2 linked regions of the Caenorhabditis elegans genome follow. The protein of the gene in region 1 purifies or fractionates together with the protein of each later gene. This does not show direct contact. Each region holds a gene or a part of one and is shown on either strand. Other genes may lie near its edges.

What was found. Proteins that work in one complex are often made in the same cells at the same time.
Region 2: the proteins of sdz-9 (region 1) and T05C12.4 fractionate together in Caenorhabditis elegans (co-fractionation; one large-scale study listed by BioGRID). This does not show direct contact.

The regions. Positions count from the first base shown.
Region 1 is NC_003280.10:2,771,806-2,775,314, forward strand, and holds sdz-9 (F-box domain-containing protein), read right to left. Parts: upstream 1,830-3,509; 5' UTR 1,808-1,829; coding exon 1,722-1,807; intron 1,672-1,721; coding exon 696-1,671; 3' UTR 564-695; downstream 1-563. Other genes in the region: sdz-10 (F-box domain-containing protein), read right to left, coding at 1-308, 353-435; fbxb-111 (F-box associated domain-containing protein), read right to left, coding at 2,191-3,064, 3,120-3,199.
Region 2 is NC_003280.10:8,177,018-8,182,288, forward strand, and holds T05C12.4 (uncharacterized protein), read right to left. Parts: upstream 3,365-5,271; 5' UTR 3,352-3,364; coding exon 3,268-3,351; intron 2,936-3,267; coding exon 2,771-2,935; intron 2,728-2,770; coding exon 2,566-2,727; intron 2,512-2,565; coding exon 2,404-2,511; intron 2,277-2,403; coding exon 2,106-2,276; intron 2,058-2,105; coding exon 1,581-2,057; intron 1,405-1,580; coding exon 1,144-1,404; intron 1,098-1,143; coding exon 714-1,097; intron 642-713; coding exon 561-641; 3' UTR 501-560; downstream 1-500. Other genes in the region: acr-14 (AcetylCholine Receptor), read right to left, coding at 89-178; dylt-3 (DYnein Light chain (Tctex type)), read left to right, coding at 4,801-4,807, 4,853-5,271.

The DNA of each region.
Region 1 (3,509 bases):
TATCAATGACCGGATAATTGAACGTTTCCATGATGTGATTAATCCAATCTCGAAGACCGAATCCTTTTTTCTTCCAGCAGAATTGTTGTTGGTAGCCTACTGTATAAGTCACATTGGCAATTTCACAAAAGTTCAAGTTCCATCTATCGAATCTGTCTGTTTTAACATCTAATCTTATTTCTTCTTGATTTGTTAATCGGAAACTAATATTAACTACAATAGAAGCATGAAGTTTGAGGTTATCGATTTTACGCTTAAGCTGCGTCGTATGAGCCTTCGTGATTTTGGAGCACAAAGAGAAGGCAAGCCTGGAATAAAAATGTCTGATTATCTACAATAAATTAAGACTTACAAATCAAGGAATCCCATTTGTTCTAGAACAATGCGCAAATTCTTTTCAGGGAGACGAAGAAGGAGAGGAAAACGGGCAGCCATCACTGCAGAAGGAGACATAGATGAGCACAGAAAGGATACCAGTGCTCAATTCAAAATGGCATATGGACAGCGCGTCGCGTTTAGGATGTTTTATCGATTCATTTTGATCTATTCATTGTGGGAAGATGTTTGTTGAAGGGTAGTTGTTGTGTATTTTATTAATTCAAAGAGAATGGAAAACTTCGACAACTCAAATTTTAATAATGATTTAAGAAGTAATTACAAAAAAAAACAAAGGATTACATTTAAAAAAAATCATTTCAACCGCAGCGAGCATCAATTGTCAAAACGGAGTACCTGCCATCATATGGGATATACGTCAAGGATAAATTTGGCAGATCGATCCGTGGGATTATAAACATGTCTCTCGCTCCTGGTGCACCATCCTTCACTTTTGATGCGGTTTTATGCGCAACGCCTTTCAACACGGTCTCCATATTCCACTGGGTTCGGACAGACGTCTCTAGTTTCAAGAATTCGCATGTCTGTATAGATCCATTGATCCAGTGCTTAAGAAAAATGTTCAATTCTTCCGATTTTAATGTAGAATCCGTTATGATGAGTTTGGTGCAGTTGCTCACTAAGAGATCGTTCAAAGTAATACAGGCATACGAAGCCTCGTCGACGAAATATCTCATTTCAGCCATTAATGCAAAATCCGGCGAACGATGAAGCACGCTTGTCTGGTTTTCCGAAAGAATCTTTTGAGTAGACAGTTTGGAGAAATGCTCTGAGTCGGGGTGTGCGAAAATTAAGCCAACAGTCTCCAAGTTTCTTCTGATGTTATAAACTCGATCTTCCGTGTAACACCAGAAATCCATGCTTGTCACTTTTAATCCATTTAAAGCTTCGCCTATCTGCCTTGTATCAGCCAGACTGAGCACGGTTCCACTTAAGTAAAATTGGTCAATAACCGGTAAATTGAATATTTCCATGGTGTGATCAATCCAATCTCGAAGACCGAACCCATTTTTCTTCCAGCAGAATTCTTGTTCGTAGCGTGCTTGTTGGTAGCCTCTTGTTGGTTGCCTATAAGTCACATTGGCAATTTCCCAAAAGTTCAAGTTACATCTATCGAATCTGTCTGTTTTAACATCTAAGTTTATTTGTTCTCGATCTGGTAATTGGAGCCTAATTGAAACTCCACTAGAAGCATCAAGTGCGATGTATTTGATGTTACGCTTTAGCTGCGTCGTATGAGCCTTGGTGATTTTGGAGCACAAAGAGAAGGCAAGCCTGAAATAAAAGCTTCTGATTATCCACAACAAAAAAAAATTTTAACTTACAAATCAAGGAATCTCATTTGTTCTAGAACAATGCGCAAATTCTTTTCAGGGAGACAAAAAAGAAGAAGAGGGAAACGGGTAGCCATCACTGCAGAAGGAGACGTTAATGAGCACAAAAGGAGTGCTCAATTTAAGATGGCATATGGACAGCGCGTCGCGTTTAGGATTTTTTATCGATCCATTTTGATCTACTTATTGTGGGAAGATGTTTGTTGAAGGGTATAATAGTTGTATGCAAATCGTTTATAGTTCTAGAGTTTATTTTATTAATTCAAAAAACAATAAGAAAAACCATGAATTTAGCGCTGCGTCGAGAATTGCGTCTACTTCTTCTCTGGAGCAAAACTTTTTCTCCGAACAAATATCTGTGCAGAACTAGAAAAAAATTACAACAAGAAGAAATTGAAAATTTTATTCACAGAATTATTTTTTAAAAATTGAACAACAAAATGAAAAAAAAAACACCTTTTCAACCACATCGATAGATCGTCAAAATAGAGCCCATATTCGGAGGTGTCGTGTAGGTCAGAAACAATTCTGACAGTCTGTATCGTGGGATTACTACTGTCTGTATATCTTCGGCCAATTCGGCTGATATTGTGTAATCAATATCGTTCAGCACGGCTTCCAAACTCCACATTCTCCCGTCATGCTTCTTCAATTGAACCATATTGAGATTTCCAATGAATCCGATGATCCAGTGCTTGAGAAATATGTTTAGGTCCTTGGCGGTTAATGTGGACTCTGGTATAAAGAGTTGGGAGCAGTTGATCGCTAGGAGATCGTTCAAAGTGAAACGTGGCTCCGAATCCGCCCAGCGATACATCAAGAAGTGCTGGTTTTCCAGGAGAATCCTCTGTGTAGACTTTGGCGTGAAATTCTCTTCATCAGGAAATGTGAGTGATACATCTGTAGGCTGGAAGGTTCTTCTCATGAAGTGCACTCTTTCTTCCGTCCAGTACACGAATTCCATGGTACCTACTTCCAGGCCATCTGTAGTTTTATGTATCCTTTTCAGATATGATTCGGCGTGGCGGGAACCTACTATGCGAAACATGTCAATGGCCGAGTGATTGAAGATTTCCATGACGTGCTCGATCCAATCCCGTAGGCCAAATCCAGTCTTCTCCCAGAAACTTCTAGTTTTTAAGTGGCCTAAAGCATTATACATGACTACTTTCGCGAGCTCACATTGATCCTTCTCGAAAACTAATTCGATTCGGTCTTGGGTAGGAGACCAGACTGCAATGCCAATTCCAGTGGAAAGATGAAGCTCGATGCTTTGGATGGTGCTGTTCAGAAGCTTCACGTGAGCCTTGGTGGAGCACAGTGAGAAGGAGAATCTGCAATTTCGGAAGGTTTCATTACATTACTTGGCTTGACAACAGAATGACTTACAAATTAAGAATCCCCATATTTTGTAAAACATTGCGCAGGTCTTTGCTAGAGAGACGAAGAAGGGGAAAACAGGCAGCCATTTGAGCAGGAGGCACAAATGAGCACAGCGGGAAGAGGGGCCACCTGGAATACAGATAGCGCGTCGCTTATTATTTATTGACCGGTTTGAGTGTACAAGAAAGGCGGAATAAAGTAATAAGGTTCAATGAGACCACCTTTCTATGCATGACATCACTTCCTTGACGTATCCATGGAGCTGCAGTCTTTTGCAGATACGTCTGGCTATTATTCTTTGAACCAATTTGCAAAATGTTACATTTCCTCATATTCTGCCTGCAACCTCCCTTATCCGGCACGGAGCAGATCCATATGACACTGTTCCCAGGTTCT
Region 2 (5,271 bases), 5.4 Mb from region 1:
CAGTTATTTGAAAAAATTAAAGCAAAGTCTCCAAACTTATACATTTAAAACCTTATAATTTTTGCACGAGCAATACAATGTTCCATACCTCTTTCAAATATTGTAAAAGTCGATATTCGTCTACACTTCCTTTCACTTGAATATAAAAAGTTAATAAAATAAAGAAAACAAAAGACATTGATGATGACCTCCTATTTGAAAAGTAAAGAGGAAAAGGGTGAACACATGGACGATTGAAATGGAGGATTAGTGACTGATCCCCCATGGGACCACACAAAGAAAAGAGAGAAAGCACTCACTTGACAAATAGATACTTACGATGTGTTTTCTTTTCCTGAAAAAAACTTTCAAATATTTTATGAACATCAACCTGTATACAAATAGGACTGATTTCAGAGCTTCCGAGCAGTGATATTTCAGGATGTGATCTGCCGAGAAACTTCATTTAGAAACATTTCTAGCTTTATATAATTCAGTAAAAATTTATTACAACTCGATAAACCATTTAATTAAAAATACATTTGGGAACCCGTAGTCTCCATTTAAAACGAAAAAAAAATTTAAATCTGTCCATAAACTGCATAGCCAGTTGTAACTTCATCATCTGGATAGATTACTGTACTTTGATAACGGGGGAATTCCTGAAAATATTGAAATGTTAGTTACCGTAGTTACTCTACTCTATTAGTCTTGCATCTCTACGGACAATTTACCTGTTGTTTTGAAAATTGTCTCCCAGCGAAATTATCAGCAGCATTCCAATAAAATTCACTACTCATTCGAAAATAGTACTTCACAAGTTTGAACATTGCAAAAACACATGGAAGCAATGAAATACATAATAGAAGTGATGAAAGGAGCAGAGATTGAACAGGAGCCAATGATCGAGAACATTGATTTGTATTGATTGAATAATTTTCAATAAGACTCTGATGATTTGTATCGACTAATCCTCTTGCTTGTTGATTTTGAAGTTGAATTGTAGCACATAACAGTTCGTGACAGTGAGTGTAGAATAGAGTAAAACATGAAAATACCAGCATACATGGTGACATTAATAACAAGATTGCAGCATTTACGGAGACTACTTTGCCAATCTGAAATTTCAATTTAGTTTTCAATCATAAATAACCTATAGTCAACCTTATTCGAAACGCTACTTCGATTCATAGGATGATCACTATAAATGTAACATCCAGTGCCAGCGACAACAAGAAAAAATGTGGGTAATATCACAAAAAGAAGAGCCAAAGCAACAAAACAGAACGCCAATCTGCAGATGAAAACGAGCAATCTTGAATGAAGACTGAAGTACGTCAAATTTGGATTGTAAGACAGACTGTTGTCAGATGGAATTTCAGCATTGTTTTCAGCGTGAGTGAGAAGTTGGTCTAGAACATTGTTCTGGAAATTTCAAATACTGCTAATGATTAGTTTTAAAAAAATTAGCCAAGTAAATTTGCTTATATGAAAATTTATTTTAATCTCGTGCTTATGAGAAACGAGAACAGATAACTTATGAAGGATCCAATTGAGAGGATATGCCATGCTTGATAACATTTTTAAAATTGAAAACTCACGGAATCAGTTTCCTCAATTTGTTTCCAGGTTACTTCTTGGAACAACTGAGTTGAGGATGTAGTGGCTTTTGATGTTGTGGATATAGGCGTAGAAGTTGCAATCGTTGTAGGAGCTGACGTTGTGGTTGTGATTGTGGTAGTAGTAGTAGTAGTAGTAGTTGTTCTTGGTGTAGTTGTGGATGTCGTTTCCTCGCTTTCCACGTCATCAATCAAATCAGATTCTTCCTCAATCGTCATTGTTTCTCCATTCACCACAAGAATATTCGATTGATTCTCAGCTTCTTCATTGTCTGTAGAATTTTCTGGTTCTTCTGTTGAATCTTCTATACCATCTAGGTTTTCAGAATTATCTGATGTTTGAAAAACTTGAGGAATTCTTGGAATTTCAGAAAGTTGATCCTTATGATTCACTAAAATTTTTTTCGTAGGCTGATGCATATTTTGAATTGAAACTTCCTCTTGGTCCCCACTCAAATTCTGAAATTAAAACTGGAAAAGTCATACATTTTAAGAAACATCTCTTACAATAATGTCATCGACTTCTTCTTTTTCATCTGATACTTTATTCAAATTTGAATCAATAATTGGTCGATTCTTTGTAATAAACTTATCAGATGTTCCAGAAAATGTAACTTCGGCCAGTGGTCGAATGGGAATTTCAATTCTTTTTCGAAAAGTTTGAAGTGGTTTTCTACTCTGAAAGAAATAAAAATGAACATTTTGAATAAAGATTTTGTAGATTTCAAGAAAGTTATTTTTGATAACATAGTTTTTTAGTTGGAAGTTTTGTTATTTAAAAATATTTTATTTGGATCTAACTCACAATATGAATTCTCTTCAGCCCACTTTTGGGCAGCTCAGAAACGTTTTCAAAATCTCCATGATAATCATAATTAGCAAATAGATCACTGATAGTGCTTCTCGAAAATCTCTGAAAATTAGGATATAAACGTTTCACTTTGAAATGAGTAAATGTCTAAAAAACCACAAGAGACGCATTAGCAAATGGTTTCTTTGCATCCAATTTTTCACTCCAAAATCCAATTCCAGCGAGAACAAAATAAGCAGAAGCTGATGTGACGATGAGCCAGGAAATGAAAAATAACATAAGATATATTGCATAAGTGTTGGAATTTGAAGGATATTCCTAGAAATATTAATATTAAAAGAAGGGATCCTCGAAACCTTACTTGATATTTTTGTGATCCACATCGCCCTCGAAACCTACATGTGAGGAATACGATTGTAAAGATAACAAGACCAAATGAGCAAGAAATTAAAGAAAATAAACTTGCAGCCAAAAGGGGTTGACTTGCAATATGTTCTTCAATTAACCCGGAATCCAGAAGATCTTTCTGAAGTATGTAAACTGAATTTAGATAAACTCTAAATTTTTAATTTAATCATTAAAAACTTACATCACCTAAATCGAATATAAAGTCATTCATTACTATAAAAACTTTATAATAAAAGTAAGTCTATAATATTAATAACAATAATAAAATGCCCAACACTCGTTAGATCCTATCATGCAAAGGTGAAATTTGCGAGACTAGGTCATCTTCAGCTGTTTTTTTTTGAATTTCATTTTCCGTTCAAAAACGAATGTAACGGGAATGACCCTTCCAATCATGTGGAAATAATCTTTTCATTCACGAAAAGAGACCGGAACTTTTCCTTCACGTACCGTATCCCAAAAATGGTGCAATGTTCGTTCAGCTGCGTCATGGTCGTGACGAAGTGTAAGTGCGTTTAGAATATATGAGGCCATTAGGACATATTATCTGAAATTTCTGAAAATTAAATAAAGAAATCTGTTGAATGATTGTGTGTCAAATAGAGTCAAGATTAGAGACGCTTCCGTATGGGAAATTCAGATCCGATCAGTTTATGAAAAGATCCGTATTTTTCCTATAACTCACTGCTCTACTTTGAAAGCTCATATCTCGATTGTCTTTCGATATATCAAAAATTGACTATGAAAATATAGAAAAATATGTGATACCTTTTTGCTGTTAAATATCTTTTGACAAAATCAAAGATAACCGGCATGAGAGCTGTCAAAGTAGAGCAAACAGGATACAAGACTAATAAAAGAAATATAATAAAGGTGCATACATAAAGCATTCACTATAAAATAACTATGTTTTCCAATTTGTTTTCAAGAAGTTGCACAAAGCCATTTTAAATTAATTTTCATTGTTATAATTGAATATGAAGTTAAATTTTTCCATTCCAGAATTTACAGGAAATCTAATTAAATAGTTTGAATGGAAACAGAAAGAAACGTTCCACAAACCTTGATCAAGAGTCTGTAGACATTATTGAGGTGCGCATATTACAAAAAGATTTATTGAATGATAGATATAAGAGGGATAAGTGTTAATGACCGGCTCATCTACAAACAATTAAAGGATGAGAGAAAGTGTTTGTGATGAGAAAGGCAAACTTGCCATGACGGACCGGAAATACTTTTTGTCTATTGGACTGATGATGACTTTTTGGATATTAGAGGAACTTCAAAGGTGAAGGTTTTTTTCAGTAAATGTTTTGGTCACTTGCTACATTTCCAAAACTGTGCATTTTCTGAGTAATTCGCATCACATTTAAGTAAACATTTAAGAGTTAATGAAATTTCAAATTATGAGGAAATCATAGTAGGAAGCAGAACATTTTCCGTAAATCACTGATGGCAAGCTAATCAGTCAGCTTTCCCCCCACTATTCCTTCGAACCGTATTTCCGTCTTCCACCACCCACCTTTGTTAGCTCAACCGACCCCTGCAAACATGTCAATTTCGGATACGGAACGCCATCAACATTACACAATTTCTGTGTGTCCGGTGCTCCAAACTGGTGCACTTTTAGTGTAAAATCTGGTACAGAGCCGCGGAAACAAAACAAAAACTTAACAACACATTTTATAATAAAATTAATTTTTTCGCTCCCGGTCGGAGATGCTGTGCCCACACCTTTTTGCATTTAAAAACAATGTTTCGTGTCGAGACCAGGTACCGTGTTTTTGGCACAAAAAGCGCAAAATTTTCGGGTCTAATTGTAAGTAATATTTTGAATTGGCACTAAACACTTCGCCTTCAGAGCGTGTTCTAATTACACGCACTGTTAAAAAAATTTATACCAGATTCTAATATATATATCAAATTTAGAAAACAAATGTTTATCGCATAACTTTAATTATTTCATTCATTCCTTGTTTCAAAATGACAGGTTAGTTTTCTTTGTCACATTATGCAACATCATTTGAAATTTTAGACACTTCTACAACTTCTTCTGTAGCAAAGCGGCAAATTGAATCAAAAAACGCTCAGCTTTTGAGACAATTGATTGAAAAGAAAAATAAGAAACTCAAAAAGAAAGTCTATTCAAATGCCGAAGAACAAGAAATTGATTTAATTATTCAAAAATCATTTGATTCAATAATTGGTAAAACTCCATATTCTCCATTCAAAATGTCTGATTGGATGAGCAAGATGATCCAAACAATTTCGGATAATTTAGTGAAGCTCAATGGAAGCAAAAAGTTTTTGGTTCATTGTACTATTTCTGCAAAAACCGATAATCTTGCAATTTGCACGGCCAACATGTGCTCCTGGGATACTACGAAGGATACTGCATACTACTCGGAATGGATGTCTAAAACTATCTTCGGTGCTGTCCAAGTCTTCTTCATC